Linked DNA regions of Lonchura striata. The protein of the gene in region 4 interacts with the protein of the main gene of each other region in a pairwise test. Links are inferred from orthologs where the notes say so. Each region holds a gene or a part of one and is shown on either strand. Other genes may lie near its edges.

The links.
Region 1: the proteins of AMOTL2 (region 4) and NFIL3 interact in binary tests that used the Homo sapiens proteins (3 or more experiments, as listed by UniProt). The two-hybrid records come from large-scale screens. The link is inferred for Lonchura striata from reciprocal best matches to the Homo sapiens genes AMOTL2 and NFIL3.
Region 2: the proteins of AMOTL2 (region 4) and BRMS1L interact in binary tests that used the Homo sapiens proteins (3 or more experiments, as listed by UniProt). The two-hybrid records come from large-scale screens. The link is inferred for Lonchura striata from reciprocal best matches to the Homo sapiens genes AMOTL2 and BRMS1L.
Region 3: the proteins of AMOTL2 (region 4) and THRA interact in binary tests that used the Homo sapiens proteins (3 or more experiments, as listed by UniProt). The two-hybrid records come from large-scale screens. The link is inferred for Lonchura striata from reciprocal best matches to the Homo sapiens genes AMOTL2 and THRA.

What each region holds. Positions count from the first base shown.
Region 1 is NC_134642.1:7,511,621-7,519,524, reverse strand, and holds the start of NFIL3 (nuclear factor interleukin-3-regulated protein), read right to left. Parts: upstream 3,047-7,904; 5' UTR 2,940-3,046; intron 1,235-2,939; exon of another isoform or gene 1,212-1,234; intron 1,122-1,211; exon of another isoform or gene 984-1,121; intron 1-983.
Region 2 is NC_134608.1:25,089,968-25,097,377, forward strand, and holds the start of BRMS1L (breast cancer metastasis-suppressor 1-like protein), read right to left. Parts: upstream 3,012-7,410; 5' UTR 2,908-3,011; coding exon 2,772-2,907; intron 1-2,771. UniProt on the Homo sapiens protein: Involved in the histone deacetylase (HDAC1)-dependent transcriptional repression activity. When overexpressed in lung cancer cell line that lacks p53/TP53 expression, inhibits cell growth.
Region 3 is NC_134627.1:7,028,440-7,035,764, forward strand, and holds the start of THRA (thyroid hormone receptor alpha), read right to left. Parts: upstream 3,175-7,325; 5' UTR 3,073-3,174; intron 1-3,072.
Region 4 is NC_134612.1:5,558,224-5,565,939, reverse strand, and holds the start of AMOTL2 (angiomotin-like protein 2), read left to right. Parts: upstream 1-4,580; 5' UTR 4,581-4,662; coding exon 4,663-5,366; intron 5,367-6,672; coding exon 6,673-6,895; intron 6,896-7,382; coding exon 7,383-7,527; intron 7,528-7,667; coding exon 7,668-7,716. UniProt on the Homo sapiens protein: Regulates the translocation of phosphorylated SRC to peripheral cell-matrix adhesion sites. Required for proper architecture of actin filaments.

The DNA.
Region 1 (7,904 bases), on a different chromosome or scaffold from region 4:
TTCTATAAATTTCATCCAAAGCAAGGCAAATACTGTTCCCTCTTAAGATGAGATAAGCTGTTTGGAGGTCATGTAAGTTCATACTGCCCATGGGAAGATTCTTAGCTTCTTGACACCTTCACATCTGTTTCATAAATACAAAAGCTAACAAACAAAAAAAATCCCCCCCAGACCTCATAACAAAACGCAAAACAACCCCCACCAAAACAGCAGAAACTTGTAGTTTTGGATGCAAATTCAGGAAGCTGGATATTTTGAAAGCTAGTCAAGAGTCCTTTGGAGCACAAGATAAAAATATAAAGTAAATGAAAGTGGAGGCAGAATATTCTAACGCTTATTAGCATTTTAACAGTCAAAGACATCTGTAATGTGAGACATGTGTAATGTAACAATAACTGTTAGTGCCAATGTTATTAACGATCCTTATTCAGCAGTCCTTGAACTTGTTGGCTTAAATCAGGCTTTTGGGCCAAAACACCAAATCCTTATTCATTCGAGTTTCTCATCAAAGTCAAGATTTTGACTGAATAAGGACCATAAAAGCAATGGACATAGCAATATTTCAAACGAGGCTCTGGATTTAATTAATTACTGAGGAGGGCAAAGATAACTCAAAGTAGGTTACATACACACTGGAGCAAACATAACGAAACTAAGTGCAATCATTCAAGTTACAAGGACAACAAAAAAAAACAGGGTTGCTTTTAACAAAACTGTAACTCCAAAAAAGCCTCACTGTCAAAGCTGTACTTGGCCCCAGCAATCAAGCAGCAAAAAAAGTTTATGCAGTTACCAAGAATATTACGTTTTTAAAATACTTTGCTACTACTTGCTATAGCAGGTACAATGAACATAAAGCCTGTGGCTGGGGTACTCGGTTGGGAGGTTTTTGGTCAGAAGCACAGAGATGTTGGTTTCACGTATTGGAGAACCGTTTTAGTAATTAAAAATTGAAAAAAAAAATTAAAATAAATTAAAAGCACCTCATCTTGAAAGGCAAGTCAGAAACTTTCAAGCTATGCTCCTATCGAGGACACAGCACAAGCCGGCCCCAGAGTACAAAACACACAGCCACTGCGACGCCGAACCGACTTGGGAAAAACATTACAGAATTAGGCAATGATGATTTTTTTTTTTCCTCCCCCCGCCTTTATGATGTTGTTGTCGCTCGTTACGTAAGAAACGAAAGAAAACGCTCATCCCGTGCCTACCAGCGAGGGCCTTTGTCTGGCGATCCCTGCCTGCAGGCGACGCTGGGACTGGGGGGGCGATGGGCAGCGGGGTGGGGACGCTCCGCGGGGCGCGGTGCGGGGCCGAGCCGCGGGATCGGCGCCGCCACAAAGGCGGCCCGGCTCGGCCCCGCGGCCCCCTACGTGACCGGCGGCGCACGGCCCCGGCCCGCCCGGCCCCGCGCTGCCAGCCCGCCGCCCCCCCGCCGCCGCCGCCGCCCCAGCCCAGAACAAAGGGCTGAGGGGAGCGCACGCCCGCCGCCCTCGCCCGCCGCCGCGCCCCGCCGCCCGGGGGAAAGGGAGGCAGCGGCGACCCCCGCGAGCCCCGCGAGGAGAAGCGGGCGCGGAGGGCTCCGCGCAGCCAGCTCCGCTCCCCCGCCCATCGCGTCTGTCACACTGACCTACTCCCCCGGAGCCCGCGCCGCTGCCCCGCGGGGCCGGCCGCACCTGGCCCCCCGCCCGCCGGGCACGGCCGGGACGGCTCTTCCTCTCCCCCTCCAGCGCGGCTGAGATCGCCCGTAAACGCCTTTCTTCCTTTAAATCAAGCCATCCCCGTTTGGTTTGTTTTGGTCTGATGCTTTGTTTTTTAAAAATTATTCTTCATTTCTTATCCCCCCCCCACCCACTGAAAGCCCGTACCGGAGAGATGCCACGGCGTCTGGGCGAAACGCCTTCCCTAAAAAAAAATAAATACGGCCTGATCTAAAAAGCCTCTGAAGGCGTAGAGTTAAAAATCCGAGCAAATGCCTCGAACGTCTTACACACGCACGGCTCTGGAGAAAAGACCAGAAATAGCACATGAAGCCACAATTGCTAAAACGCGAAGGGGCTAAATATAGACCCAACACAAATCTCGTTTTAAGGCACCCGGCACGCAGCCCGCGAGCGCGCCTCGCCTCCCCACTTACCCAGTTGTCTACTTCCCTTAATAAACACACTTTAACAAAACCTGTTACAGTTACGGGTTTAGGGGGCTCTTTTTTTTTTTTTTCGGGGCGAGATTGTCCTAGTTTCTTTGTAGGCAGATTATAAAATCGCATAATTAGCTCCCTTTTCCCAGCCCCGCCGCCAGCATATTTTGTGGTTACATAATGCAACATTTCCAGGAACTATTATGCGATCGGTCCCGCAGCGCCTAAAAAACAGCGACAAAAAGTGACGGAAAAGGCTGGCTGAGACAAGCGCAGCCCCGGCGCCGGGCCGCTGCCACTGATCCCGACTGCCCGCGGGCAACATGCCCCTGCGCCGCCCGAGAGAGGACTGGGTCTGGCCGGCGGGCTCCGGCAGCAGCTCCCGGTGGTTCTGCGGCTGGCGCTGCCCGGGACCCAGCCCTCCGCCCCGCACGGCGCCCGCCGCGGCAGCTCCGCTCCCCGCCGGCACATTATGCAACGCGGAGAGCCGCTCCGCCGGCGCTGCCCGGGGCTCGCCCGAAGACACGCGGGGCGCAGCGCGGCACGCCAGGAACGAGCACGCCCCGACAGCCAGAGCCGCCGGCCGGCATCTCCCGGGCTGCCTCCCGCGCCACCACCCCTCCGCCGAGCCGCCCGCCGCCGCGCGGAGCGGCGCCGCCGCCGGACCCTTCCCGCCCGGCGGCGGCCGGAGCTGGCCGGGCTCCCCTTAAGCACGAGCCGATCCCCGCCCGCAGCCAGAGCGAAGCTCCGGGCGGGCGCCACAACTTTGTACGCGCGCCTGCCTTCCTTCCTTCCTTACCTGCAGCGCGCCGCGGAGCGCCGAGCATTCCTCGCCCCGCGCCGGTCCCCGCGCTATGAGGGGGGCGGCGGTGCGGAGCGGGCGCGGTGCGGCGCCGCGCCGTGCGGACGGCGGCGGAGCGGCGGGCGGGAGCGCGCGGCGGCGGCGCGGAGGGATGTGTGTTAGTAGGTCAGGGCTGCGCGGCGCGGCGCTCATAGCCCGCATGCCGGCCGCGCCGCGCCGTGACTGGCGGCCGCGGCCGGCCAATCGGCGCCCGGCGCCGCCGGGAGGCGGCCAATGGGAGCGGGCGGGGGCGGGGCGGGGCGGGGCGCGGGGCGGCGCGCCGTACAGTAGGTCTGTGTGCTGCGATTGCATAACCGCCGGCGGGGGCGGCGCGGGGGGCGCCCGCGCTTACGTAACCGGCGCGGCGGAGCGCGCTGGGGGGCGCTCGCCCCGCGCAGCCTCCGCCCGCCGGGCGCGGCGCCTCCGCTCCGCCGCCGCCCCGGCCCGCACCGCCACCCCGGTCCGCACCGCTTCCCCGGCCCGCACCGCTTCCCCGGCCCGCACCGCCACCCCGGCCCCGCACCGCTTCCCCGGCCCGCACCGCCTCCCCGGCCCCGCACCGCCACCCCGGCCCCGCACCGCCACCCCGGCTCCCGCCGCGGGGCCGCGGTGCGCGGCGTTACGGGGGTGTGTCTGCGCGGCGTGTGGGAACCGCGCCCTCGCACCCGCCGGCTCCGCGCCGTCGGGCGAGGCGCGCTCCCCAGGCGCGCTCCCGCCGCCTCGCCGCGTTCCGCCGGCGGATCGCGCCGCGGCTGCTGTCGCTGGCGGAGAGCGGCGGGGAGAGACGTAAAAGGCGGAGAGGAACGGCAAGGGGAGAGCAGCCCGCTGGCGGCCTTGCCGGGGCTCGTCCGCTGCCCTTGGCGGCCGTCAGGGCTGGAGGATTTCGGTGGCGTCGCTTCATCTCCGCAGCGGGGACGCACTCTGGGGGAGCCGAGTCCCGCCGACCCTCCCGGGGCCATCCCCGCCGGCAGCCCCGTCCCCGCACTCCCCCAGTGATGCTGCGGAGAGCCTGGTGCTGGCTTGCCCCCTGTTTAACCTCCGTGTTAGAAAGTGACACATGGTCTGCGAGAAATCCAGCTGTCAACCCAGAATGGGTTGGGATGCATGCGTTTGATTAGGAGCGAGATATGTACCTTCCTCTTTTTTATCCTCGCAGAAGGTTTGTATCTCCATCTCTTTTTTTTTTTTTTTTTTTTTTTTTTTTTCCTTTCAGAAGTAAAATTTACGGAGACAACAAAAAAAATTCTTTATTAAATCCTAATTACGGAATGTAAATGATTCATTATTTCATTCTGTTAAACATTTACTGAAACAGTATAGTCCTCTCCAACATTATTCTGGTACATTACTCTGTCATCCTGTATTTATATGTCAACAGAGATAGCCCTCTGGAGTAAAGCAAACCTAACAGAAAGCAAATTCAGAGTATTGTTTTTGTTTACCTCAGCCCTTAGTGTTTTATCACATGAACCCAAAATATCCCTCCACAATAGTCTAAATGCCTTGAATCCATTTCTTTATATCTCCCTGGATTATTTAATATGAAAGGTCTAATAACCTTTACTCACACTGGTTTATCCCTCTTCCTTTCCTATTTCTAATATCTAGCCTATGCAGCCTTGTTAAAGGTAACAGACTATGGAGTGTGTGACAATCCCCTGTGACAGACATGGGGATTCAAAAGCAGCCGAGTGCGAGAGATCAACCACTGCCTCCTCCTGGAGGCTGCACAATCAGGGTTTATTTTCCCCGTGCTTCCACTTGCCAGTGGATAACAGATATGCAGAGACAGTTGGCATGCTACTGGAAATGTCAGACATGAGATCCAGCAATAAGCTTGAAGACCTGCTTGCTCATAAATATTGGTGTCTTACTTAAGGTCTTTGGCATAGTGAAGAACCTACGTGAAGAATCTTGTGCAGCACACATTATGTCCCATATGTATCATTCCAGTCCAGTGCACTGAGTTTTCAGGACTGTCAAAAGCCAAAGTAAATCCTGAAACTTCAGGCAGTTTTTAAAATTAAATGGTACACATTGTTTTCACCATGATAAATGGTTTCTTGTTAATCCTGGGCATACACTTTTAACAACTTTAACTCTCACATCTATAAGAAGAAAAAACAAAAAACAGTTCAAATTTGCCTTCATGACTCAAGTTCCAGAAATTCTAGAATTCTAGAAAGAAGTCTCCAAGGCGAGTAATATCCTTCCTATGTGGGTGGAGAGTCTTGGAAATAATATTCCAGATGGAGTTTGGTCACCTATTTGCTTATGTGTTTGTCACTAATTATAATCAGCCATAAAAACAAACCTGATCTTTCTCCCAGATTAGGAAGAAAGATATTTTCTATATTTTACATTACTTCTATTTGGTAGAGGTCAGGAAAATAAAAAAAAAAACCCTTTTACAGCAAAATCTGGTCTTACTCTCCAAATCTTCCAGTAGGCACTTGACAGATTCAGGGAAAAGGTGGGATGCAGGGCTGAGTGCTTTTGTGGTTAAAGGAACATATTCACCATTTTTCCACCTCTTCTGAGATACAGGAATAAATAGCATGGATGAAAGACATAGCTTTGTGTATTCTGCACAAAGGGAATATAAGGCTTTTGGGAAAACTGCAAAAAAGAATCGTTCTATGATTATCCACCTCTGCTGATTTTCCTATTGGAGGGATGAAGTAGGTCATGAAGATCTTCAGCTAAATTCTCAGCTGACTCTAGCATGATATGATTTATACTTGCTTTTGGACAGCACACTATTAACTTCAACTCCTTTAGATTCATTGGTATTTATTGCTACATGACTTAAATTTTCTAAACACTACCTCTGATTTTGACTTAATGAGAATTTCTAAGGCTACACTGAGTCATAGTACTACATGCAAGTCTAGAAAGGCATTTGAGAAGCAATTAACAAAAATGTAACAGAAGAGCCTGTCATCTCAAACATTGGTTAACACCTTGGCATTCAGTTGTGTCCATGCATCTTGGGCTTTCCATAATATCAGCTTTGAATATGACCCAACTTGAAATTTAGAATTGGATGAAAATAAAAGTTCCAATGTACCCAAAGAAAAAAGGCCTTCATTCCTCACTTTTATTATAGTCCACATACAGTACAATGTAGAAAGTGAAATAAATATGGACCAAAATAAGAATAAAATATTTCTTAAGATTATGCTCTACTAAACACAGTTTAATGATTTATTTATATGTATATGCACATACACACATACTCTCTGAAATTAACTGAAGAGATGGTGACTTCTGCTATTATCCTTGGTTCTCTTGCATTGCTTTCTTTATATCTGTAGAAGGTTTACTACATAGCGATGCAATTACAGAAAACTATATTCACCAGTCTTTTTATCTATTTAATGTGATCAGTGCTCAAAAATGTTTAAAACTAACTGACACCTCCAGGGCTCCTGCTCAAGAGCAGTAGTGAAAATTCCATAAAATAGATGAGATTGTGATTTTATAAAGATCAAAGACAGAGATAAAATGCACTATAGAAAAAGGCAAGTCATTTGAATACAGTTGAAAGTATTAATCAAAATATTTCCATGAATCTGGGAACACTTGTGGAAACTGTTCTGGAAAAATATTTGTGCTGTAATGTACTCTTGCTAAAAGCAAACCCGAGAGAAATAGATGTTCACATTGTAACTTAGGCAGACATAAGTGAGGCAATGTTTACTGGAACTGTTAAGTGTGAAGAAACACCAAAAATTTCACAATAAGAGCATGGACTAAATAAAGAAAATTTACATGATACTTCTGCACTGCAACAGCCTACTTAAAGCTTCATGGCTATTCATATGACAAACTAAGAAGGTTATGGGGTTCAAGTATTTTAGATGAGTCTAAGAGCAAACAAAAATATCCTGTTTCTTATGTCTCAAATGCCAGTTCTGCCCATAGAGCATGTTACCCACTTAGACTGAGAGACAATATCAGGAACAGCAATATCTCCAAAACTGATGGAAATATCTGATTTCACCTAAATATTTTAAACACAAAAAAAAGCATTTTCAAATGTTCTTTTTGTTAATGAACACATATATTACTAATGTGTATAACACTGCCCTTACTGAGACTCTCGAGATAATGCTGCCAATGTTGTGGAAAGAAGAAACATGTAACACCATTCATTTTCTATATTGGACTGGAAAAAAAAATCACTGAAAAGTCCTCAAAAATGTGAAAATGTGCCATTTTATGAAGTGTATTGTATGCATATAGAAAGTGGGAAATGCTAGGAATATCACTGAAGAGAAAAATAAAAAAAAAAAAAGAGATGAGTCCTAGCTTCCTTCTCTCCATGACTGAGCAGCAGACATTATCAGCAGGAAATCTGGAGCACACCACATAAAAACACTGGAGAAGGAAAGTCAGCAGGTGCTCTGAGTGACTGAGATGGCAAAGCACATTTTACATCCACATTAATTTGAAAGGAAGGTGGAGATGACACACAGGTAGGAAGATCAGCAATTTCTCATGGCCAGCAGCACAGGAGGGAGACAAGTGACAAGTCATTGCCATTGAGAACTGTTTCAGTATGGTGAAATAAGCTCTCCACGCTAAATTCTACTTTGTGGCACCTTGCTCAGAAATTGCCAAGGACCACATGTGTACTTACTCAGAGCTGCCTCACTGCCAGCTTTTGAATCTCTCTGATTAAATCCTCCAAATTATTGGAGGATTTTGCTGGGAAGTGAGAATTTCTTGAGAAGTAAGATCAGTTCTACTAAAAGGGACCAAAGATCCTTCATGTCCAGAGTCTCTCCTGGTCTGCAGCAACAGAAGCAACTGCTGACAGGATCTAGTCTAAAGGTCCAGTAGATGAAATTTTGTTGCAGAAGCAAACAAACAACTCCCTCCAACACCTGTTCACACTTTCCCTTTAAACAGGTTTTT
Region 2 (7,410 bases), on a different chromosome or scaffold from region 4:
GTATTTGAAAGCAGAGCAAGAAAATTTGAGACAGAGCTTAAAAAAATGCAATGAATGGGGAGAGTGGGAGAAGAACAATCAGGCCATTAAGAGATACTATTTATATTAAAATATTGTTCTCAAAAGTAAGGCAAAACCGTAATCCCAGAATAAGGCTGAAAATCACATGAAAGAACAAAGTTTTATGTGACTGTTTGACACAATATCCACAACAAAATCAATGTAGTGATTTATAATTTGGGCAGATTTAAAGAATGTGGCAATCGTATTATCCAGAGTTGCCCAAAGCATTTCTGTGCTACAAAAATGAAGCCTCTTTAAAATGTGAAGGCACTTCCCAGTGAAACTAAACAGGAACAAGCACTGGCATACCAACAGTTTTTCCCCTTTATTCTCAAATATGTTTCAAATGTGTTCTTCTATGTTTTTAATTCTAAGTATGTTTTAGTAAGTTCACTCAAAAGCTCTTCTTAAATTAACACGGATGTTATTGTTTGTGTATGTTTAGAGAGTAAAAAGCAAAGAAAACTAGAACTGTAATCCTGGATGAGGATCAGAGCACACCCACTGTTGGAGGGGAAAGGGACTGCATCTTAAATTTTTAACTTGTGTTGCAAGGAAATTGATATTCACTGGTATCTGAGGGTATAGCTGACTTCCTTGTAGATAAAAAAAACCACAGCTACCTCCAATCTCCTCTCAGCTACAAATACTTTGACTTTCTGCCTAGAAGTCTTCAATTCTCCCTTATCATTCATACTAAATGGTAATTCACATGCCAAGTTGCTTTTCAATGTTATCATCTGTATTCTTCCTTCAATAAGATTCATAAAATGGTGAAGATTTTCAGAGTCCTGAAATATATTTAATTCCCCATTTATGGAATTTCTTCCTCATGGTCTTAAACAACACACAAACTATGGAATATGAATTACTGAAAACATAAAATGTTGTAAAATCAAATCTCATGGCTTTCCAATTGAAAATTTACATCACAGGAGATGGAGGATTGCTCATTCCATATTAAAACAGTTGCTAATAGGCCTGACCTGTCTCAAAACTTCAGATTTACCATACAGTTTCATACTGCAAAAAGTATTTAGGGCATTTAAAAACACTTTCAAAATCCCAGTTGTTTTCTCCTACTATACTCAAGCAGTCTAACACAGCAATTAGGGCAACACGGTTTAAAGATAAAAAAATCCACACAGCACTTAAAATGTAACAGCTTTTTTTAATAAGATGTGGCCTATATAAAGTGCTTAAAAAATGGCCAAATTCTCCTCTGGGATAGCAAGCATAACTTGTGGCTTTTTAAATTCATCCCGTATCAACTATTCCATATTCAAGTCAATAAAACACCTGTACTAAATACATAACATCAAAACTAACAATATAGAAAGAGTGACAGCTCTCAAGGACGGTCATGCTTCCTCTAACAGCACCTTTTGTGCAAGTAAAGCAAATTACAAATTTGACAAAAAATTAATTACTAATTTCAATTGAGACTTATTTCTTGGGGTGCTAATCATTTTAAGTCTGTAGGAATAAAAAGCTTACAAGGAGTATGTTGATATTAGTCAAGACACTGAGACAACCATGTAATTTTTTGTCATCATCAAACTTTAAGTACTCCCTTAAGAGCAAGTCTCTGTGGAATGCAACAAAAATTATCTGGAGAGCTTCTGGTGTTGTTCTAAAGAAAAATGAACAGACTACATCCACTTAAAACACACTTACTTCTTCCTAATCCCAGACTCTCAGGCACACAGTGTGATTCTTGGGGTGTTCTGTGCAGAGTCAGGAGTTGGTCTTAATGATCTTTCTGGGTCCCTTCCAACTCAGCATATTCTATGGTTTTAATCTGATGATATAGGGGCCTCAGCACTAAATCACTTAAGCTGCCAGAACCACATGTCAGGACTAGGACTGGCCCAAGTCCACATCGACATCAGGACTTTTCTCAATTCACTAACCCTGTCCAACTTCTTTTCCATCCACTGTCTTGTATGTCATCACTAATCCTACCAGTTATCACCTGGAAACATGTTTTAAGATCAAACACAGAAAGTAGTAATTAGAAGGAAACTTAGAACAGCTAATAATAACCTTCTTAATAACAAGTGTAAATGAAACATAGAAAAAGTGATCCATTTAAAGCTAGATTTCAGCTACTAACGTAATTCAAAATCTACAGTCCAGATGGAAAGTATGGAAATAAGAAGGGAAGCTCAACTGAGCAGAGGCTGAAGTGCTCTGCAAAAGAGGGCAGTGGTATTAACAGGCTTCCAATATCCCCCCCAAAGACAGTTCTTAAAACACCTAGTTGAACTTCGTGAGCTTGCATGGAAATACGTACTTACACACGTGTTCATGCATGCACACGTATGTATATAAGCCCTTAAGTGGAGACCTCAGCGAGGACGCACTCAAGGCCAACAGGGCACAACCCACGCTCCTCCAGCGAGCGGAGGAGCGCGGCCCAGGCCGCCATGGCCGCGTACCCGCCCGCTCCGGAGCCGGGGCTCGGGGCGCAGCGGGGCCCGCTGCCCGTGCGCCCCGCCCCGCTCCTGCGCCCTGGCCGGCCGCCCGGAGAAGAGCCGCTGAAGCAGAGGCTGGGCCGGGGCGGGGTCACGGGGGGAGGGGAAGGAGGGGGCACACCGACAGCAGCAGAGCCGGGCGGAACCGGTGTGTCCCCGGGGCGGCACCGAGCGCTGAGGAGCCGCCGCGGCGCCTTCTCAGCGGCGCTGCCTTGCGGGCGGCTGCGCTACCTGAGCTGTCCCCCTCCTCGGAGACGGACGAGCTCTCGGTCTCCTCCTCCTCAGAGCTGCTGCCCTCGTTCTCTCCGTAGTCCACCTCCATCTCATCGTGATTATTCTCCTTCTTCTCCCGGGAATGCACCGGCATCGTCCCCGCCGCTGCTGTGGAACCCCAAGCCCGCCCTTCCCGCCGCCGCTCCGCCGCTGCCACCGGCCGCTCCGCCCCGCCCGGTGCCTGCGCGCCCGCCCATTGGCCAAGTCCCGCCGCCGTCTGGCGTCACCACGCGCGCGGCGTTCTGGGAATTGTGGTCCGCCCTGAGAGGGCCGGAAGGGCGCTGTGCGGGGCCGGGTGCGTAGCGGCGGCTTTTCGCGCCCCTCTCCTGTCCCGGGACACGCACGGGACTGCTCGGTGCCGAGAGAGGCTTCATCGCGGCCAGGCAGAGTCTCGTACCTGCCCGCGTCTCCCGCAGGACGCCGAGCGAGGCCGTGGCCCTGTGTGGTGGGGGTTCGATCGTGGCCGTTCCCTGCCTCACGTGTGGCCCCACCACTCTCCTGCCGAGGAGTTCTGCATGCTGGCAAGATGTCCCTTATGACTCGGATCTCAGAGGGGAGAGGTCCTTGTGTTATTGAGGGGAAATTCTTTACTGTGAAAGTGGTGAGGAAAAGGTTGCCCAGAGAAGCTGTGGATACCCCATCCCTGGAGGTGTTCCAGGAGCTTTTGGAACAAGATGATCTTTAAGGTGCCTTCCAATTCAAGCCATTTTATGATTCTATGAATAGTGGCCTCCTCAGCAGAACTTGCTACTTCCCCAGTGTCTTATGTTGTCCTGTACGTGTGATATGCTTTAAAGTCAGACTTAACTGGAAGTGGCAGCGGTCCACTGGAGTGGATATGAGAACTGACTAAAGAGACAATCTGCAATCTGTGCAGGTTTGGGATAATTTTTTTGGCTTTGAGTATCAGTACTTATCTGTTCATTGACCAATTGCTGTTAATTGCGGTACATAAGATGTACTGAATAGAAGTGACACTTTCTGGAAAAAGCTGTCTGAACTGTCCTGTTGCTGTGAGGGACTGATTAGCTTCACCTCAGGACCTTGGCACAAGGGAGTCCGGCAGGGATCCTCAAGAGTCCTGAAATACAGAGCTGGTTGTGGCCTGCAGGGCATGTGGGTGATAGCTTTGGGCCGAAGGTGAGCTCACTTGTACTGCACAGGCTCACTCTTGATATCTGGGCCAGCTGAAAGAGCAGTAGAAAAGCACAGTGTGTCTCAGTGATGTGATGTGCCACTTCAAAGGAGTTAAAAGTTGTGTGTGCCTGGCAGGTGCAGTTCTTCATGTTGAAGTCCAAATTTAGTTCCTCTCAGCTGTCTGGATGGATATTATGGAGGCTATATTGTGAGGCAGTTAACTTCTGTGTTTCCCTATGGATTTCCACCTCCACAGCAATAGCTGCCCACCTCAACCACAATAACCACTGCTGTACATTACTCACTTCTTTTCTCCCACATCTCTGTATATCCAATGCAAGTAATTTCCCTGTATCTCCCCAAAGAGGAGTGTATGTAGGTGTGCCACCTCTTCTCCAAGAGCAGTGAGAGAAAAATTAGGCATAACTAACCTCCCACCCTTCGGTGTGCAAACTCCATCCCTTCTCTTCTTGCTGTCTCTGGCTTTTTAATCACAAATGGACGCAGCACCACTTGGCATCCTTTCTCCATACCCATTACGATTTTCATCTTTTCTTTATAGATTCATAGAATGGTTTCAGATGGAAACAGCTTCTCTGGATAAGCCACTCCAGTTCCCCATCACCTTCACAGTAAAGAATGTCTTCCTAACATCTAATACAAACCTACGACTTGTAAAATAACTGTAGCCCGCGTGGGAATCCTGAGTGCTTTCCTAGATCCGCCGCCATCCCTTCCTCCCGCCTGCCAACCTCGCTGCGCTCCGGGCTCCCGGCACCGCCGGCCGTGCGGGGCGGGGCGAGCTCCGGCCGGCCGGACCTCGGCATAAGGGGCCGGGCTGGCCTGGCCCAGCGTTTTTAAACGTGGCTCTGGCTGTTTAACGGAGCAACAGCAGCTGAACTTTTGTCCCCAGGTTTTTGCCAGGAAACTTGTGAGTCCCCGAAGCCTGGCCAAGTGCAGGTTCACATAGCTTTAAAAACCGACCAAAGTAGTTACCAAGGTACTTTTTTTTTTTTTTTCTCCAATCTGGTATTCTTTTGAGGGAGCCTGGTTAAAGTGTTAAACTGGTAGTCAAATGGCTGAAAGGAGCTAGGAGATGGCCTGGAACAACATCAGGAGACATTCCAGAAGAAAACCTAGAAATTTCATCAGTTGGATCTGAATTTTCTTTCAAGATATCCATAGGGATTCAGAAAGGGAAAAAAAAAAAATCACAAAAAAACCCACAAAACACAAAACCAGAAGTAAAAATGTCTAACAATCCCCAATTCAAGTGTTTCCTTTTGGATTAGGAAGATAAAAAGACTAGAAATCAAAGGTTCTGGACTAGGAAAAAAAAAAACAAAAACAAAAACAAAAACAAAACAAAACTACTGGAAATAGTTGCAGGGAAAGGAATGGCAGGAAAACAGGAAACCTTTGGCTTGATTGTTATTTCCTATTCAAACAGTTGGAACAAAGTCTAAAGGAGCTAAAAATAAACCCCAGAAGGAAATCAAAATTTTCATGCCCTGGTTGAAATAAGCAACCAAGATAAGGAGTTAAGACAGAAACTTTTTTTTAACAACACACAACTCCACATGGTTCTATTCTGTTTATAGCCAGGAGAGGGGGGGATTACCCAGCTAAAGCAATCTGTTGTGTGGAGGAAAAAAAAAAAGTACTGGTTGAAGTTAACTTGTCTGTCCAAATGAAGTGCTAGAAAACATAAGAGCAAAGGGTACTTCTGGGCACTACATATGGGCACAAGGCTTATGACAGCTTACAGTTTATTTCCAGACTATAAAGCTAATTTATCAGATCACTTATAAGCCCTTAACATATAAAGTGACAGCACCTATCTTAATCAGATCTCTAGAGGCAAATGCTAGAAGAGGTGGGGAAAGATGAAATTCTACGTGGTCTGTTAGAGGACTTGCAAAGATTTTTGTTTAGTGTGTATAAATACATTTATGAATCCAGCCAACTACCAGAGCACCAGTCTCTGGAATGACCATTTCATCAATATAAGCAAATGCAAGTGTTATGTGTCTATAAAGGTGTGATTTTTTTTTTTTTCTGGATCATGACTTATGCCCTTCATTAGAGTAAAATAACTATTAAGAAGGTGATTGTCATAATCCTCATCTGCTCAGATCTGCATTTAATGGAGAGGTGGGTATTAACAGTTTGGGGGTGGGGGGGCGCGGTTTGTGGTATTTTCCAAAAATCAGAAAGATACCATTAACAGGGATAACTGGCAACCATATAAAAATTAAATCTGGAAAACTAGCATTGAAAAAAATTGGATGCAATAACAATTACTATAAATAAAATGTTGGCTAGTACAGATGTTGGTATCTCCTTTCCCAGTTTTAGACACCTTTAGAAAAAGCTAGGGAGGAAAGCTGTAATTTTACACCTAATTTATGGAATGGAGGCGGTGAGTATGTATCACTTTAGACTCTGAAATGCAGATCCTGACTTTCTGATTATAAACCTGATTGCCAGCTTTTGTTGTAGTGAGTAGTTGCATAGTAACTAAGTATTTCTGACAAGAAGGAGATTGTAAAGGGAGAAACCAGAAATATATATATATAATGTGAGTCATTAGGATACTGGTATAGATGAAACCTTGAAGGAGAAGCAGGGATGAAAGAAATTTTACCATGTGTGCAATATAGTGCACTATATCTTAATGAGTTGAAAATAACTTCTCATTTGGAGTCTCTCCCATCTCAAAGATGTAGCATTTTGGACTGGTAGTCTTGGACTGGTCATCAATCACAAGTCTGGATGTTGGGGTGAGGTCCTCCAAAGGTGCCAAAGAGCAACCTATTAGCCAAAAAGAAGTGGTTGCCCTGGGGTCTCTAGATTCTAGCAAACAAAATTATTTCACTTTCTATCACTAAAAAAATATACTCTGGATACTTTATTAAATCTAATTCTTCACCCTCAATTTGAAAGTGCAATATTAGGAGGTAGGTCACAAGAGCTCTGAAAAGACTATTTGCATGCAAGTCAAGATCAGCAGCAATTTAAAGCAGCAGTCATGGAGTACCAGTTATGAGCTGTGTTTGAAGGCTATTGGATGAAGTTCATTCCTCTGATCATGGGGGTTTTTTAAGCAAAATACTTTGATACATGCTGCAAAAGGTGTAAAGTTTTACCAATCAAAATAAATGCAAAGAGATATGACCTATTTCCAAAATATCCATTTTCCTCCTGTGGGTGACATAACAGGAGAGATTGGGGCAAAATGTTTCCTTTGATAGAACAGAATTCTGTACAAAATTCTCTCTCCCCTAGGGGCTGGCAGACATGCACAGGGTTTCTTTTGTGCATTTGTCAATATTGCAAAGCTATTTCAGAAGTTGGGAAAGAAAAATAAAACATCTTGGTGGTTGCGTGTTACTTTTGGTTAAAAGAAAAGTTGTTGCAACTTCCACTGTATCAGAGTATTCACATTTCAAAAGCTCTT
Region 3 (7,325 bases), on a different chromosome or scaffold from region 4:
ACACCATGCCCAGGGCCACACAGTGCCCAGTGCCGTGGGCACGCGTGGCAGTGGGGACAGCGTGCCGTGCCGTGCCGAGCCGTGAGGCTGCAGGAATCCCAGGCATGCACAGCAGCTGGGCAGCCCGAGCAAGGGGGATGCCACGGGCCTGACATCAGGGCAGCCCACCCAGTGCCACGGGAGCCCTGCATGGTGCCCCCTCCCCACAAATGTGGGGTCTGGGCTGTGCTGTGGCACAGGATGGCTGAGCCAGGGTTTGTGTTCTCCCTGTGGCTCATGGCTCATTGAAGCCACCACTCGTAGGACAACTGGCAGGGCTGGTGACCTGTCCCGACACTGACTGGGCACCCAACGTTGTGGCCTTGAGCCTATGACAAATCCTGTGTCCAACGGGTCCTGCATCACCACAGTGGGGACCTGCACCATGACCTGCCCCCAGCCCCGCAGCCCCCACAAACCCCATGGGATTCCTAAGAACACTACATCCAACCAAGGCCACACCGGCCACTCCTTCCCGCTGTGTGTGAGCATTCAGCTGTGCCTCCTTTTCCCCATCCCGCTTCAGCTTCCCTTCCCACCGGGGCTGCCTGGCAGAGAAAGAGCCACACTCCCATATCCCCAGCCCCGTGTCCCCTGTGCCAGCACACAGGATGCGGCTCATCCCGATGTCACCGCTTGTCCAGGCCACGAAGGTCACCCAACAGGGACCCCTGAGCACCTGGTGTGTGCTGAGTGTGCCCAGTCTCAGCTCTTGGGGGTGGCTGCGGGCCCCGAGCCCCGCGGGGTGCCCCTGGCCCCAGGAGGTGTGCTGGGACGCCGGGAGCTATTCTCAGCCCTTGGCACGGCATGGGACGTTTCTAAATCGGGGGCTCTGGTTCACGTGCAGGGAACGGGGGGGGGGGGGAGAGCTCCTGGGTCCCCTCCCGGGGGGGCCCTGCTTGAAAGGGGGAGGCGGCCACCACGAGGTGCCCAGCGTGGGCACCCACGAGGGGACACAGGGACAGGCACCGGGACACGGAACCGAGATTGCCCGTGGGAACCCATCGCCCCCTGAGAAGGGGACACCAGGGACAATCCTCGCAGTGCTCCTGCAGTCAGCCGACCCTGTCCGAGGGTCTGCAGCGCAGGGGACATCCCGAACGGCACCGCCCCGGGGGCCGGACCCCGCTGCGCCCCCCGCCCGCATCCAGCCTGAGCGGGGCCCTGGGAGCGCAGCCCGCGCCCGCCTTCGCCTGCACCGCGGCCCCTCTTCTCCTCCTCCTCTTCCCCCCCAGTCCGGAGGGGGACCCACGCGTCCGGCCCCGCCTCCACGCACCGGCGGCTGCGCGGGGTCCGGCGGGGCCGGGGGTCCGCGGGATGGGACCCCCGGGGCGGCCCCGCCGCTGCTTCGGGCTCCGCTGACCCGGGAATGCACTCGCGGGGCGACGAGCGGAGCCGATGGGGGGCGGGGGGTTTCAGCTTCCTGCAGCCGCCGCCCGTCGGGAGGGGTCCGGGGGTGCGCCCGCAGCCCCCCCGTTCCCGCTCCGCAGAGTGCGGGACACCGGGTGTGTACGGAACCCGCGCTCGCCCCTCCGGGAGCCCGTCCGCGGAGCGACCACGCCGCGGCCCCGCGAAGGTCACGGCGGCGGGAGGGTAAGGGGTGCCGGGGAGAACCCCCGTGCGAGGATCCCGCTCCCCCGGCCCGCGGGGCCCGCACCGTTGCGGGGGGCACACGCAGCCGCACGGCACTGCCGTGGGGAGGGGGGGACGCGCCGCGTCCCCACCCTGCGCCAAGACCCCCGGGCAGGGGAGCCCCCCCCAAACCGGTTCCACCGGGGTTTGCCCGCGCCCCACGGCGGCCCCGGTCCCCCTAGCGCTCCAGCGGAGCCGCGGGGGTCCCCGGTGCCGTCGAGGGTCAGGCGGGGTGAGGCGCAGCCCGGCCTCCCGGTGCGGCTCCGGTGTCGGTGCCGGTGGCAGCCCCCGGCGGGGGGGGTCACGGCTGAAGGTCGCGGTCCCGGGGTGACCTTGGCCGTGGCGCCCGCCCGCCCCTGCCTCAGTTTCCCCGCATCGCACAGTGGGGACGCGCCACAGTCCGGTTGGGACCGCATCCCTAACCCCGGCGGCGACACCGGAGCGGGGGCAGGATCCGCCCCCCCCGGGGTTGGGGTGGGGGACATCCCGCGGGACCGCGGGGCGCCGTGCAGAGGGGAGCCCCCGCCACGCCCCGCGCCCCGCTCAGGGCGAAGCCTGTGGTGCGGGGCTAGAGCCCCCCCTCCGCCCCGCCGCACCGGGGACGCCCCCCCGCTGCCCCCGCCCTAACCGGGAGCGGCCGAACCGCCCCCCCGCCCCCCCCCCCGCTCTCTGCTCTCGGCGCAAAAAAAAAAAAAAAAAAAAATTTAAAAAATATTTTTAAATTTTAAAAATTAAAAAATCGCAGCATTCCTGCAGCCCTGCGCAGTGGGTGCGGGGGAGCGGACACAGGGGCCCCTAAAGCCCTCACGGACACTCCACGGCACCGTCACGGCCCGGCCGTCCACGGTTCTCCCCCCCCCGCCGCGACAGGGCCACGGCCTGCCCACGGCCCGGCCCCGCGACCTGCCCACGGCGCGGCCCCGCGCCCATCACCGCAGAGCCACGCCGCGGCCCGGACCCCGCCACGCCGCCACGCCACGGCCACGGGGGGGCCGCGGGGCCGGGGGGCCACACCGGGGGGGGGCTGCCCCCGTGGCGTGGCGTGGCGGGCGGGGGGCAGCGCCGTGCCCCGCATGCAGCAGCGGCGGGTGCGGTGGGGATGGGGGGCGCGGTGCCCCCCCCCCGCCCCCCACGGGGGAACGCGGCCCCCCCGCCCCACGCCAAACGCCCGGATTTTCCAAGGAAAAAAAAAAAAAAAATCTCTCCCCGTGTTTTTTCCTCGCGGTTCGCGGCCCCCGAGCTCTCCGCGGGTCCCGAGCCTCCCGACCCGATCGCCCCCCAGCCCCCCATTCCACGCACCGAACTGAGCCCGTGCTCAGCCGGGGGGGCCCGGGGGGGGCGGCGGTAAACAACCGGAGGGTGGCGGGGCCGCTCGGGCCGGCGGGGCCGCTCGGGCCGTACCTGAGGTCGACGGCGGCGGGCGCGGAGCGGCGGTGCGGGGTGCGGAGCGGGGCTCGGAGCGGCGGTGCGGGGCTCGGAGCGGAGCGGGGCGCAGCGGCGGCGGCGGCGGCGGACGAACGGCGCTGGCTCCTCCCTCCCCCGGCCCCGCCGCCCGCCCGCTCCGCTCCGCCGCGGCCGCAGCCCCCTCCGCCGGCCGCAGCCGCTCCCTGCACCCGCCGCGCCCGGCCCCGCGTGGGGACCCACGGGGGAGCGGCGGGGTCCGGGCGGACCGCGGGAGGGTGACACCGGGGTGGGCAGAGAGGCACACGGGGATCACGGGGTGGGGATGGTGGCCGTGGCAGGGTGCGTGGTGGCAGCCCTGACGGTGCCCACGGGGATGTGGTGACAGCGACAACGAGGACGGGGGGTGGTGAGCACAGGGTGGGGGGCTGTGTGCAGGGGGGGCTAGGGGAAGTGGCCACGGGGGTTGGGGACGGCACCCACGGGGAGGTGGGGACAGTGCCCACGGGAGTTTGGGGCCCCGGGATCCTGGGGCGGTGCTCGTGGTGGGGTGAAGCTGGTGCCCACAGGAGTTTGGGACGGTGCTCACGGGGATGTCGTGACAGTGACAACAGGGACGGGGGATGGCGACCACCGCGTGGCGGGCTGTACCGAAGGGGGACCGGAGACGGTGCCCAGGGAGGCCCAGGGGGATGCCCGTGGCAGGGCGGGGATGGTACCCACAGGCACTGGGAACAGCACCCACGGGGATGCTGTGACAGTGACAACCTGGTGTCCACGAGGGCAGGGCACGGCACCCGCAGGGAGCTGGGGACGGTGCCCACGGCGATGCTGTGATAGTGACAGTGACCCTACAGGATTTGGGGACAGCACCCAGGAAGGGCTGGGACGGTGCCCTCGCTGGGTGGCGGTGGGGTGGAGATGATGCTCAAGGAGATCTGGGACAGTCCCCATGGGGCTTGGTGACAGTGCCCACGAGGCAAGGGGCAGCTCCACACCCCGGATGCCCAGCCCGGCCCGGGGAGGGGCACACACCAGACACGGGGGTCCCCCTCAGATCCACACCGCCCCGGGCAGGAGACAATCCCGCAGGACACCCGCACGTCGGGGGGCCCTGCCCCTGCGCCCCCCGGGGGATGTGTGGGACGGGGAACAACGGGGGTCGTACCCCGCTGTGGGGCCGGACCCGGAGCCGCCGTGGGGCTGGGGATGGCGGCGGCACCGGGAGCCCGGGGGGGATCACTGGGGAGGGCGCTGAGGGTCGCCCACCGACCCGGCCGTGCCACCCCACCCCCTTCCCAGCAGCCCGTGCTCCCAGCCCCCCCTTTTCCTCCCCGGACTACACGTCCCGTCATGCCCGGGCTTAAAGCGGCTCTGCCGCCCCCCTCATCCCCGCCCGGAGCCCCGCAGCTCGGCCCTGGGACCCCCGGGGGGTTCAGTCTGGCCGCCCCCCACCCCCCAGCCCCCTGGGTACCCCCCTCCCTGGGCTGCACGGGCGGTGCGGTGATACCCAGGGGATGAGGGGGATGGGGGTCTCCCGGGCATGAAGGCTTCTAGGAGAGGAGGGTCTCCAAGGGATGAAGGTTTCCTTGGGAGGGGTGTACCCAGGGGATGGTTTCCCACACTTGGGGAGCGCAGGCAACACCCAGGGAAGGTGAGGGGGGGGTCCCCACGGGCCAGCGGCTGTCAGGGCACGGTGCTGCTCAGAATGGGGACAACAAGGGGGCAGTGCTACCCGGGGATCTCCAGGGGATGGTGGTCCCCAGGTAATGCGAGTCCCCAGGGGAAGGTGGTCGCCAGGGGATGGGGGTACCCAGCGGATGGAGGAGAGCGACACCTGGGACTGCCACAGAACCCATGGACCTCCTGCTGCCCCCGGTCCCCACAGGCCGGTGGTCCCCATAGCCCCCATCGATCCCCTGGCCCCCCGGGTCACCCTGGGGCCCTCATCCGCACGGCTGGCGGTCCCAGCGTGGCGGGGCAGCAGCAGCGTGACGGCCCCCCCGTCCCTCCCCGCCTGTTCCGTACACTTTATCCTCAGCAAACACGGCTCGGCCACGGCCCCCCGCAGCCGTCTGCCCGCGATAAGGCTGTGGCTGAGCTCGCCTGCCCCCAGCCTATGGGGCTCAGCCATCTCAACACCACCTCATGTCCCCAGATCCCCCTGCTTGAGGTTGCCTGACAGCCTCTATCCCATTGGGGAAACTGAGGCAGAGCTGGAGTTTGCCTGTGGCCTCTCTGGAGCACACAGACAGGCGCTTCTCGCGCTCATCACCAGCTCCCCGTCCCCACTGAGGTTCCCCCAGTGCCACCACAGGTCTCTGCACTGCCCCAGTAGAGTGGGGACCTTGTGCCCTGTGGCAGACCCTGATCTGAGGGGATTTGGGATTTAGAGGGGCTGTGCTGCTCTAGTTGGCTGGAACACGCTCATTAAAGTTCACCCCGCTGCTCTGTGGCAGAAACACTAAATATAGCCCCAAGTCACCAGTGGTGCCCCCCAGGACCCCCAAGAAGGTGATGACACCAGGCACCTCCATCCCCAGCACTGGCTACCCCCATGGGGCAGCACCCACCACCAACTGGGGGGTCCGGACGGCCCCATGGGGGTGTCCCTCTATCCCGGATCAGATCCTTCACACCCCACCAAACACCAGTCAGCAGCCATGTGCCCCCCGGCAGGACGCGGCACCAGAGCTCCCAGCCACCCCACTGACCCCGTGGGAAGGGGAAGCCCCTCACGCTGGCCCCCGCTCGCCCCTCGCTTGCCCCCGGCGCTGGGAACGGCCCCAGCCCCTTCCGGCCCCCCCGGCCCCGGGCCGGAGGCAGCTGTGCCGGGGCTCCCTGCCAAGGCGCCGAGGCTTCGACGCCTTCCCCCCAGCCGGCCGCCCCCGCGGCACCCCGGGGAGCTGCGACCCCCCGAGCACCCCCTGCCACCCCCGACCCTGCCAGCACCACCACCACCACCCCTGCCCCGGAGTTTGGGGGTGCTGTGCCGGGGTTGGGGGGGTCCAGCAGGGCTCCTCAGAGCCCCTCCTGCCTGGAGACCCCCGTGGTGTCTGTTCCACGGCCAGCTGTGGGAAGCGACCCCCCCCTTGCACAGGAAATCCCTCCTCATGGATAGGGCTCCCCCCCGGCGGGACCCCCCCGCTGCCGGGGTGTCCCCCCCGCCGCCGGGGCCCCTCGCCGCCCGGGCAGCCGCTGGCCCGCTTAATCCCGGCCCCGGCACGGGGGGATTTGCTGCGCCCCGGCCCCATGAATGATTAACCGGGGAATTAAGGGGCCGCGAAACCCCCCCGGAGCAGCGCGGAGGGGGGGGGGGGTGTGACTGAGCTCCCACCCCAGCCCCCCTGGAGGTCTTCACCCTGCTCCTGAGCCTTGGGGGTTCCCTTGGGGAATTCTGGGGGTACTGAGGGTTTTGGGGGGGCTGGGAGTGTTCTAGGGGTGCAGAGGCCTGGGGGTGTTTGGGTTGCAGGAGGGGTGCTGGGGGGCTATTGGGGGCATTCTGGGAGGGTTGGTGCGCTGGGAGTACTGGGGGGGGCTGTCAGTTCTGGGGGGCTGCCCCCCAGCCTTGCTCCCCATCCTCCCGTTGCCATGGCGACGGCTGGCACCATCCCTGGGGATATTTTTAGCTGCTGGTACTGCAGGGAGGGGGTGGGGGGCAGCCCAGGCCCATGGCGGCGCCACGTGTGTGCACACACGTGTCTGCAGCACACGGCCTTGCACACGCGTGTGTGCCCACCCCTGCGCTGGTACCTGTGCGTGCACACCCGCCCGGGGGTGCTGGTGTCTGCGCGTGTGTGCAACAACACACACAGACACACACCGCACACACTCATGTGCATCCACACGTGTGAACACACCCGCCTGTGTCACACGCAGTCCTCAGTGCACGCCTGTGGTTGCACACGCACGCGGGCACACCTCTGTGCTCACACACTGGTGTGCACACCTGTGCTCATGTGTGTGCGTGTGTGAACATCTGTACATCTGTGTGTACACACGTGCACACACACTGTCCTGTGTGCACACCTGCACAAACGCACAGAGAAACATGCTGGGAGATCCGTGCTGCCACCCCAGAGCCTTTGCACACTCACGCCTTTGCACCATTTTTGCACATCCCTTGTTTTTACACTTACCCCGTTTGTACATCCCCTGTTCTTACACTTACCCCGTTTGTACATCCCCTGTTCTTACACTCACCCTGTCTTTGCACAACTCCTCATTTTCACACGTATCCTTCCCCCCGTGTT
Region 4 (7,716 bases):
GAGAACGAGGAGGGTCCTGGCCCTGTTTTCAGCCACATTTTTCCCCTCTCAAAATTCCTAAGAAGGGGCTCTGTGAAGATGCCTGTGGCACCACTTCCCAGAGTGTATGATTGATGAAGAACTGTGGCAGGAGTCTCTGGAGTGGGGATGTGCCCTGGGTTATCTGTATGGGATCTATAGATCAGCTGCAGAAGAGGAAAGAACCCAGGAGAATGTGGAGGAGAGGGAGCAGGAGCACTCCAAATTTCTGTGATCCTTACTTGGGGCAGATCCAGCATGCCCCTGGAAAAAAGGGGAATCTCAGGGATCTGACTCTGGGAGAGACACCTGAGGTGTGGAGGAGCTGGCTGTCCCCAGAGAGATGGGACAGGTGGGAACAGTGCTGCATTCATCTCTTGGGGATGTCCCCAAAAGCTTCTTTCAGATGGGATCAGTCCTGGTCCCCTCATTGCTCCAGCTGTGTCCCCACCAAGCCTACCAAGGTTTTCCCCTGGGTGGAGAGAGATATTTCCATTCCTTCCTCCACTGAGGAAGAGCCATATCAGTCACAAAGCAGCAACAGGATTAGGGGATTTGGCACAACCAGGAGCATCCCAATCCCACCCATGCCCTGCCCAGTCACATTGAGGTGTTCCCTCTTGGAGTTTTGGGAAGGGAATTTGCTCTGTTGCACAGCAGCACTCCAGGTCACACATTTCCAGGGGGATCAGACCTGGGACAACCCAAAATGATGCAGATTTCAGAGAGAGGACAGGGAAGATGAGCTGGCCTCAGGCCTGGCAGCTTGTGGGGGTATCTCCAGGAGGATAGGATCCCTCTGGGTGGGATGGTGGGAGCAGAGCAAGGGCTGGGGTGCTGCCTTGGCTACCTGTCCCTGGGGATGCAGTTCCCTTTGGAGGCAGCCTGGGCAATCCTGGCACTGGGAAACAGCATTTGTGCAATTCCTTGACCTCCAGCTCCTGGTTGCACTTTGAATCCAGAGTTCGGGACAGAAGCAGGTACCAGGAGGAAGCTTTATCAGGAAGATTGCCATGGAGAGGTTTGAGGGGTTCAGCATGGTCACGGGACACTGCCAGTGGGGCTCACTGGTCACGGGATGCTGTCACCACTGTCACCATCTCCCCAGGAGATGTGCTGAGGCTGCAAACCTCCTCTCCATCCCAGGCACCCACCTCTGCCCACAATGCCCCAGTTTTCCAGGCTCAGCACGGCTGAGGGCTGAGGCATTTTGGGAGCCTGAAGACAGCCGAGGTGATCTCATCCCACGAGTATTTTCTTGGCTCCCTCTCCTCGCTCCAACGCCTCGGCGATAAGGCTGGGCTGAGGTCAGTGGGAGGGTCTGGCATTGCGGAGCCGTGTGTCACCCCGCGGAGCCTGGGACACGGCACCGGAGCCTGGGACACGGCACCGGAGCCTGGGACACGGCACCGGAGCCTGGGACACGGCACCTGCACCTCCCTGGCTCCAGCCAGACACCGAGTCCCCACCCCAGCCTCCAGGATGCTCCACCTGGGAAGAGGGTCCGTGCAGGCAGCCAAAGGTGCCCCCACCACTGCCCACAGGTCCAGCTGCTGTTGTTTCACCTTCTCCTGGGGAAAACAAAAAGGTTGAGGCTTTTCGTACCTCCAGTATTAGAAAGAAGGAGAGGGAACTCTTCAGATCACTTTCCAAAGGGGTCTTATCAGCCCAGGAGGGGTTTCCTGCTGCCAGGAATAGAGCGGTGTTAAGATAGGAAGGGAAGGATGACACAAACATAGATAAAGCTGGGGGACGAGCCAGGAGAAGAATCCTGGCTGCTGGGGCAGCTGGGCTGCTCCCTTGGAGCTCAGGTAGGAGCCCCATCCACCTGGGAAAGAGCAGGGCAGAACCACAGCTAGGTCCTTTCGGAAATGCCACTGCTGGGCTTGGTATATTGGAGTGGTGCATCATCCATCCATCCATCCATCCATTCATCCATCCATCCATCCATCCATCATCCATCCCCATGGTGCTGGGCCTGGGCCCGTGTTTCCAGACTCTGCATGTTCCTGGGGACACAGGGACAAGTGCTGTGCTCTCATCTCCTCCCCACATGAAACTAGACCCTCACTGGGTCTTCAGGGTGCCAATTCCCACATTTCAGCCTTCATCCATGAGGATTTGACTTGTCACTAGGAAAACTGGGCTGGAAAACCTGTTTCTTGAACTTCCAGGTGCTCCTCTTCCTCCAAGTACCGACTCCATCTCTCTGCATTTTCTTTCCATGCTCCCCTGCCTTTGAGTCTGGTACCTGCTGCACATGGGAGATTTATTTATTTCCCCATTTTTTGGGAGATAACCCAGAGGTAGTGAGTTGTGCCTGCAGCCTGTGCCTGCTATTGCACCCTGGGTGCCCCAGGGGTGATACCAGCGTGTGATGGAGCAGGAAAACAAGGAGATGAGGCTGGAGATCCCCACATCCCTCTCCCCACATCATCCTCCCGGCTCTGTGCCAGTCAGAAGATGCCGAGTTCCCTCAAAAGAATGGGAGCTTAATGTCCCGGAGCTAATAAGCAATTTTCCCCTGCACCTGCCTCTCCCCGCTGCCTCCCCTCCGGCCATCTGCTGTCTCGGGGCCTCTGGACTCTGCACTGACAGCCTGGGGCGCCCGGGGCTGAGACGGGGCTGGTGTTTCACTGCTCTGGGGCTGGGGGTGCTCAGTGTCCCCCCAGAGATAAACCGGGGTGGGTTGAAGGGGGAATTCGGCCCCTGATGGTCTCCTCCATCCCTGTGTCCCCCCAGGGAGGTGGGTGGCAGAGCCCAACAGGGGAAACTGAGGCTGGGAGAGCAGCAGGGGCACCCAGACACGAGCTGGCAGGAATTGCTGCATCCACAGCGAGCTGGCAACCCCAGCCGGGGGGGTGTGAGGATGGAGGACACAGGAGGGAGGAATGCAAGGAGGGAGATGTGAAGAGGAGATGCAAGGAGGGGGAAGGTGAGGAGGGGGGATGAGAGATGGGGGATGCAAGAAGTGGGATGTGAAATACGAAGAGGGGGACATAAGGAGGGGGATGTGAGGGAGGGGGATGTGAGGAGGAAGACACGAGGAGGAATGTGAGGTGGAGAATGAGAGGACAGGGGTGTGGGGGGGGGGGATGTGAAGGGGGGGATGTGAGAAGGAGGATGTAAGGAGAGGGACACGAGGAAGGGGGATGAGAGGAGGGGGGATAAGAGGAGGGGAGATGAGAGGACACAGAATGCGAGGCGAGGGGGATGCGAAAAGGGAGAATGTAAAGAGAGGGGTGCGAGAAGGGGGGGCCCGAGGGGGCAGAGCAGATGGGGCCAGCAGGCTCGGGGTTGCCCCGGCCCCGCAGACAAAGGCTGGGGCAGATTTACGGCCCGGGACAGCTGGCGGGCAGAGCCGCCCCCCCGCCCGCAGCTGCCGCTCCCGCTCCCGGCCGCGCTCCTGCGCCGGCGGCGGCCCCGGGGCGGAGCGGGGCGGGACCGGCCCCACATTCCGGGCATAGCAAAGCCCGGCCCGGCCCCCGCGGCTCCGGGACGCTCAGAGCCGCCGCAGCACCGCTCCGCTCCGCCATGCCCCGGTGAGTTCTGCCGCCGGGACCCCCCGGCGCCGGGAACTCCCCAGCACCGGGACCCCCCTGACCGGCACCGGGACCCCCCGAGCGGCATCGGGACCCGCCAGCACCGGGAATCCCCCGGTACTGCCGCCCAACCCCCCCCGGCACAGGGAACCCCTTAGCATTGGGACGCCCCCGACTGGGATCGGGACCCCCGACCGGCACTGGGGTGCCCGGATACGGAGAGGCCCCTCGGGGAAAGGACGCTCCCCCGGCACCGGGAATCCCCCAGCAGGGATCGGGACCTCTCTCGGCAGCGGGACCCACCCGGACCAACAATCCCGGGACCGAGACCCCCTTGGACCGAGATCCTCCCGGCCGAGACTGGGACACCCCTCTGGGGCTGGGATTCTTCGACCGGGATCGACCCCCCCTGGCCCAAGGAAGCCCCCAGTCGGGACTGGGATCCCTTCACGGGAGCCGGGACCCTTCTCCCTGGGATCGGGACTCACCCCCCCCGGCACCTGGACCCTCCCGGGGAAGACCCTCTCCCATACCGGATCCACCCCCAGGGACTGGGAACACTCCTGGAACTCTCCCAAACGGGACAGGAACATCCCCACGGCACTTAGAGCACCCCCCCTTGCCCCACAGAAAAGTCCCAGGACCCTCACCGAGACTGGGACACCTCTGCAAGTCCAGGACCTCCATGTCCGGGTCTGGGGATGGGGTGGTCCCACCCATCTCCCGGTGGCTCTGTGCCCGGTCCCGTGGGGCTTTATCCCCCACTCCCGGGCCAGTGCCAGTCCCGGCTCCATGGGGCACCGGCTCTGGAGGCAGCCCCGGCCCCGGGCTCGCTGACAGTGCCGGTGCTCGGCCACCCCAGTGCGGGGGCTGCTCCGCTCTCCCGCTGCCGCCACGGGCTCCCACCCCTCCGGCACGTCCGGGCCGCATTCCTGGCAAACAATCCCGTGTCCATCAGGATCCGGACTCTCCTGCCCCGACTGCTTCGCAACAACCCCGCTTCTCCCTCTTGCAGGTGTCTCGGCGTGCCCAGTTGCTGTTGAGGTCCCGCGGGACGCCCCTCCCGGGTGGAAAGGTGGCTCTGCCGGCGGCACGGACGGACATGAGGACGGCGGAGGACTCGAACGGGACGGTGCTGCACCGCCTGATCCAGGAGCAGCTGCGCTATGGGAATCTCACGGAGAACCGCACTCTGCTGGCCATCCAGCAGCAGGCTCTGCGCGGCGGCGGCGCCGGGAGCCCCCGCTCCTCGCTGGAGAGCCTCAGCCCGGAGGAGAGCCAGATGGTGCAGCAATCCACGCGGCAGGAGCCGCAGGGCCAGGAGCATCACTCCGACCACGTCTACTTGGAGAACAGCGTCTATCGGCTCTGCCCGCCCAAGGGCGAGGAGCTCCCCAGCTACGAGGAGGCCAAGGCGCATTCCCAGCTGCTGGCCTCGCAGCGGGGAGCGGCGGGCGCGGGGCTCCGGTTCGAGCCCGGTCCGCGCGGGGCCGACAGCGGCGCCCGGCGCCCCGACGAGGCGCTCAAGGAGCTGAAGCACGGCCACGTGCGGTCCCTGAGCGAGCGGCTCATGCGGATGTCGCTGGAGAGGAACGGGGCCAAGGCGCAGAGCCCCATCAGCGCTTCCCACAGCTTCCCGCAGCTCTCCCGGCAGCTCGTCCCCCTGCGCGGGCAGCACCCCGAGGGCACGGAGCCGCGGGGACCGCCCCCGGAGTATCCCTACGTCATCCCTTCCCAGGACGCTTACCTGGCTGAGCCCCGACCCTGCTCCCGGGAAGGTCCTGGATTTCAGCATCCTGAGATCAGGTAAACTCTGGCCCCTGGGCTCTGCTTTTGGATGCCTCCCAGGAATGTCCAGGATGGATGTTTGGAACTTGCAGGATGCGAAGGGCAGTGGGGGCCCAGAGCAGCTGCTTTTGTCCTCACTGGCACAGGCCATGGGGGGTCTGCCGGGAGCACCCTACTCTGCTCCTGTCCCCAGCTCCCCCAGCACGGCTGGGCTTTTCCAACCAGTGACGAAAATCCCATTCCCACAGCAGACCCTGCCTCATCCCCATGCACCAGGAAGGAGCTGGGGGTAACTTAAGGGATAATCTAGGAGCTGGAAGCAGCCCAGGAAACAGATAAATGTGGAATAGGTATGGGGCAGGGTGGAAAACAAATATGGTCCCTGCTCCACATGTCATGTCATGGTCCTGAGCTGGGAATGTCCATGTAACTTGGAATTGCTGCTGAGCAGAGCCTGGGCTGGTGCCAGGTGGTCTGTGGTTCCTTTGGCAGCTCAATACCTCTGGCAACGCTCCAGGGTGACTGTGAGATGGACATCTTGTGGTCCAGACATTACCTAGAATTTGAGAAGGACTGGAAACAGCCTCTTCCATTGTGGAAAATGATGGGAAGAAGGGAACTGGTGGCTCAATGTGAGGACACACTGCTCCCAGCCCTGCTGATCTATCCAGGCAGAGAGTGATAGCATCTCCAGCAGGAAAACCTTCTCCTTCCAGGGAACAAAGAGGGGAAGGGGAGCTGCGAGGAAGATGTATTTATTCTTCCTTGCTCCTATATCATCCCGCAGGAATGCGGGCCCTTGGCGGGCAGCCCGCAGGGGAGCACAGCGGGGCCGGGCCGTGCACAGCCACCCTGCTCAGGGTATTCCAGGCAGGATGTTGAGGTGGGATGCTGCAGCAGTGGCACAAGGGGCAGCCAGGCTGGCCTGGCTCCTCCAAATATAAAAAGGATGCATCCATGGTTTGGCAGTGAGGACCTATGTCAGGAATCTTTGCTTTGCATAGAAAATAAGGAAAAGGCTGGCTTCCAAGGTGCATCCTATGCCAGGCTGCCTGCAGCATTGCCAGGAGGAGAGGGACCTGGGGGGTTGGGAGCCCATCCAGACCCACTGCCCAGGTCCTGGAGGGGTCAGGTCAATGCATCCCTGCACGATGGGATTTGTGATTAGAGAGCGAGCGCTTCCCAGTTCTAAAAAAGCAGGATAGGCACTTCCACCTCCTTCGAGATGACTTGGAGGCACTGGCACGTGCTCGATGGCATGCTGGAGCTGCAGCCAGCCCTCCCACCCTGCCAAACCTTGACTCGCCCTCCTCGCTCTCTGCAGGGTGCTGCCCACCTCGGTGCCGGCCGCGTTCCTGCCGCTGTGTCCGGGCGCGCTGGGTCCGGCCGGCGTGGAGGCCCTGGTCAGCGCCCAGGCGGTGTCGGCCGGCAGCCGCCTGGCCCGGGCAGACGCCGTCCTGCGGGAGAACGAGAGGCTCCAGCGGGAGAGCGAGAAGCTGCGGCGGGAGCTGGAGAGCTGTGCCGAGAAGGCGAGCCGCATCCAGAAGGTGAGGGAGTGGTGGCAGCTTCCCGTGTCCCTCCTGCCCGGGGCGATGCTCGACCAGCTGCCGTGAAAATTCACCCCCTTTAGTGATTTAATCCTTTCTCCTCCTCCCTCTGGCGGCTTGTTCCCCTCGGAGCAGCTGCAGCACGGCAGCCGGGATTGGGGAGAAGGAGCCCATTCTCCAGTGACCCTCTCCCTCCGCCTGTCCCCCCATCCCGGCCGCCACAGAAAGCCCTTTGTGTGGCCGCGTACAAGGGGCGGCTGTTCCCCGTGGCTGGGCTATGGCAGAGCCAAAATCCGTGGAGAGACTCTTCCATAAGAGAAAAGCCCGAAAAAATCAGTTTTCCCCCCCAAAACATGTGCTGGGGGCCTACTCGGGGTGCACTGAGCAGCTCAGTTTGGGCTGAGCACCCTGGCTGGGCTTTGGCTGGCATCTCCCTTTCCTCATTCCATGAATATCTAACCCTGGCTTGTCCCTTCCTCCACCCCAGCTGGAGAGCGAGATCCAGCGCATCTCAGAGGATTATGAAAATCTTGTCAAGGCGTCTTCCAAGCGGGAAGCCTTGGAGAAAGCCATGAGGAACAAGAGGGATTGTGAGATGCGACGGCTGCAGGATTTCAACCGAGACCTGAAAGGTGAGGGGACCCTTTGTGTCCACATCCCCATGGGTGCTCTGTGTCCCTCAGCTGTTTCCATGGGAAACCAGGCTTTTCCCCCTTCCTCCAGCCAAAATCTTGTATTTAAATCTTAATTGGGCTTGATTGTTTTGCACCAGAGCGGTTGGAATCGGCAAACAAGCAGCTGGCCAGCAAGAACCAGGAAAA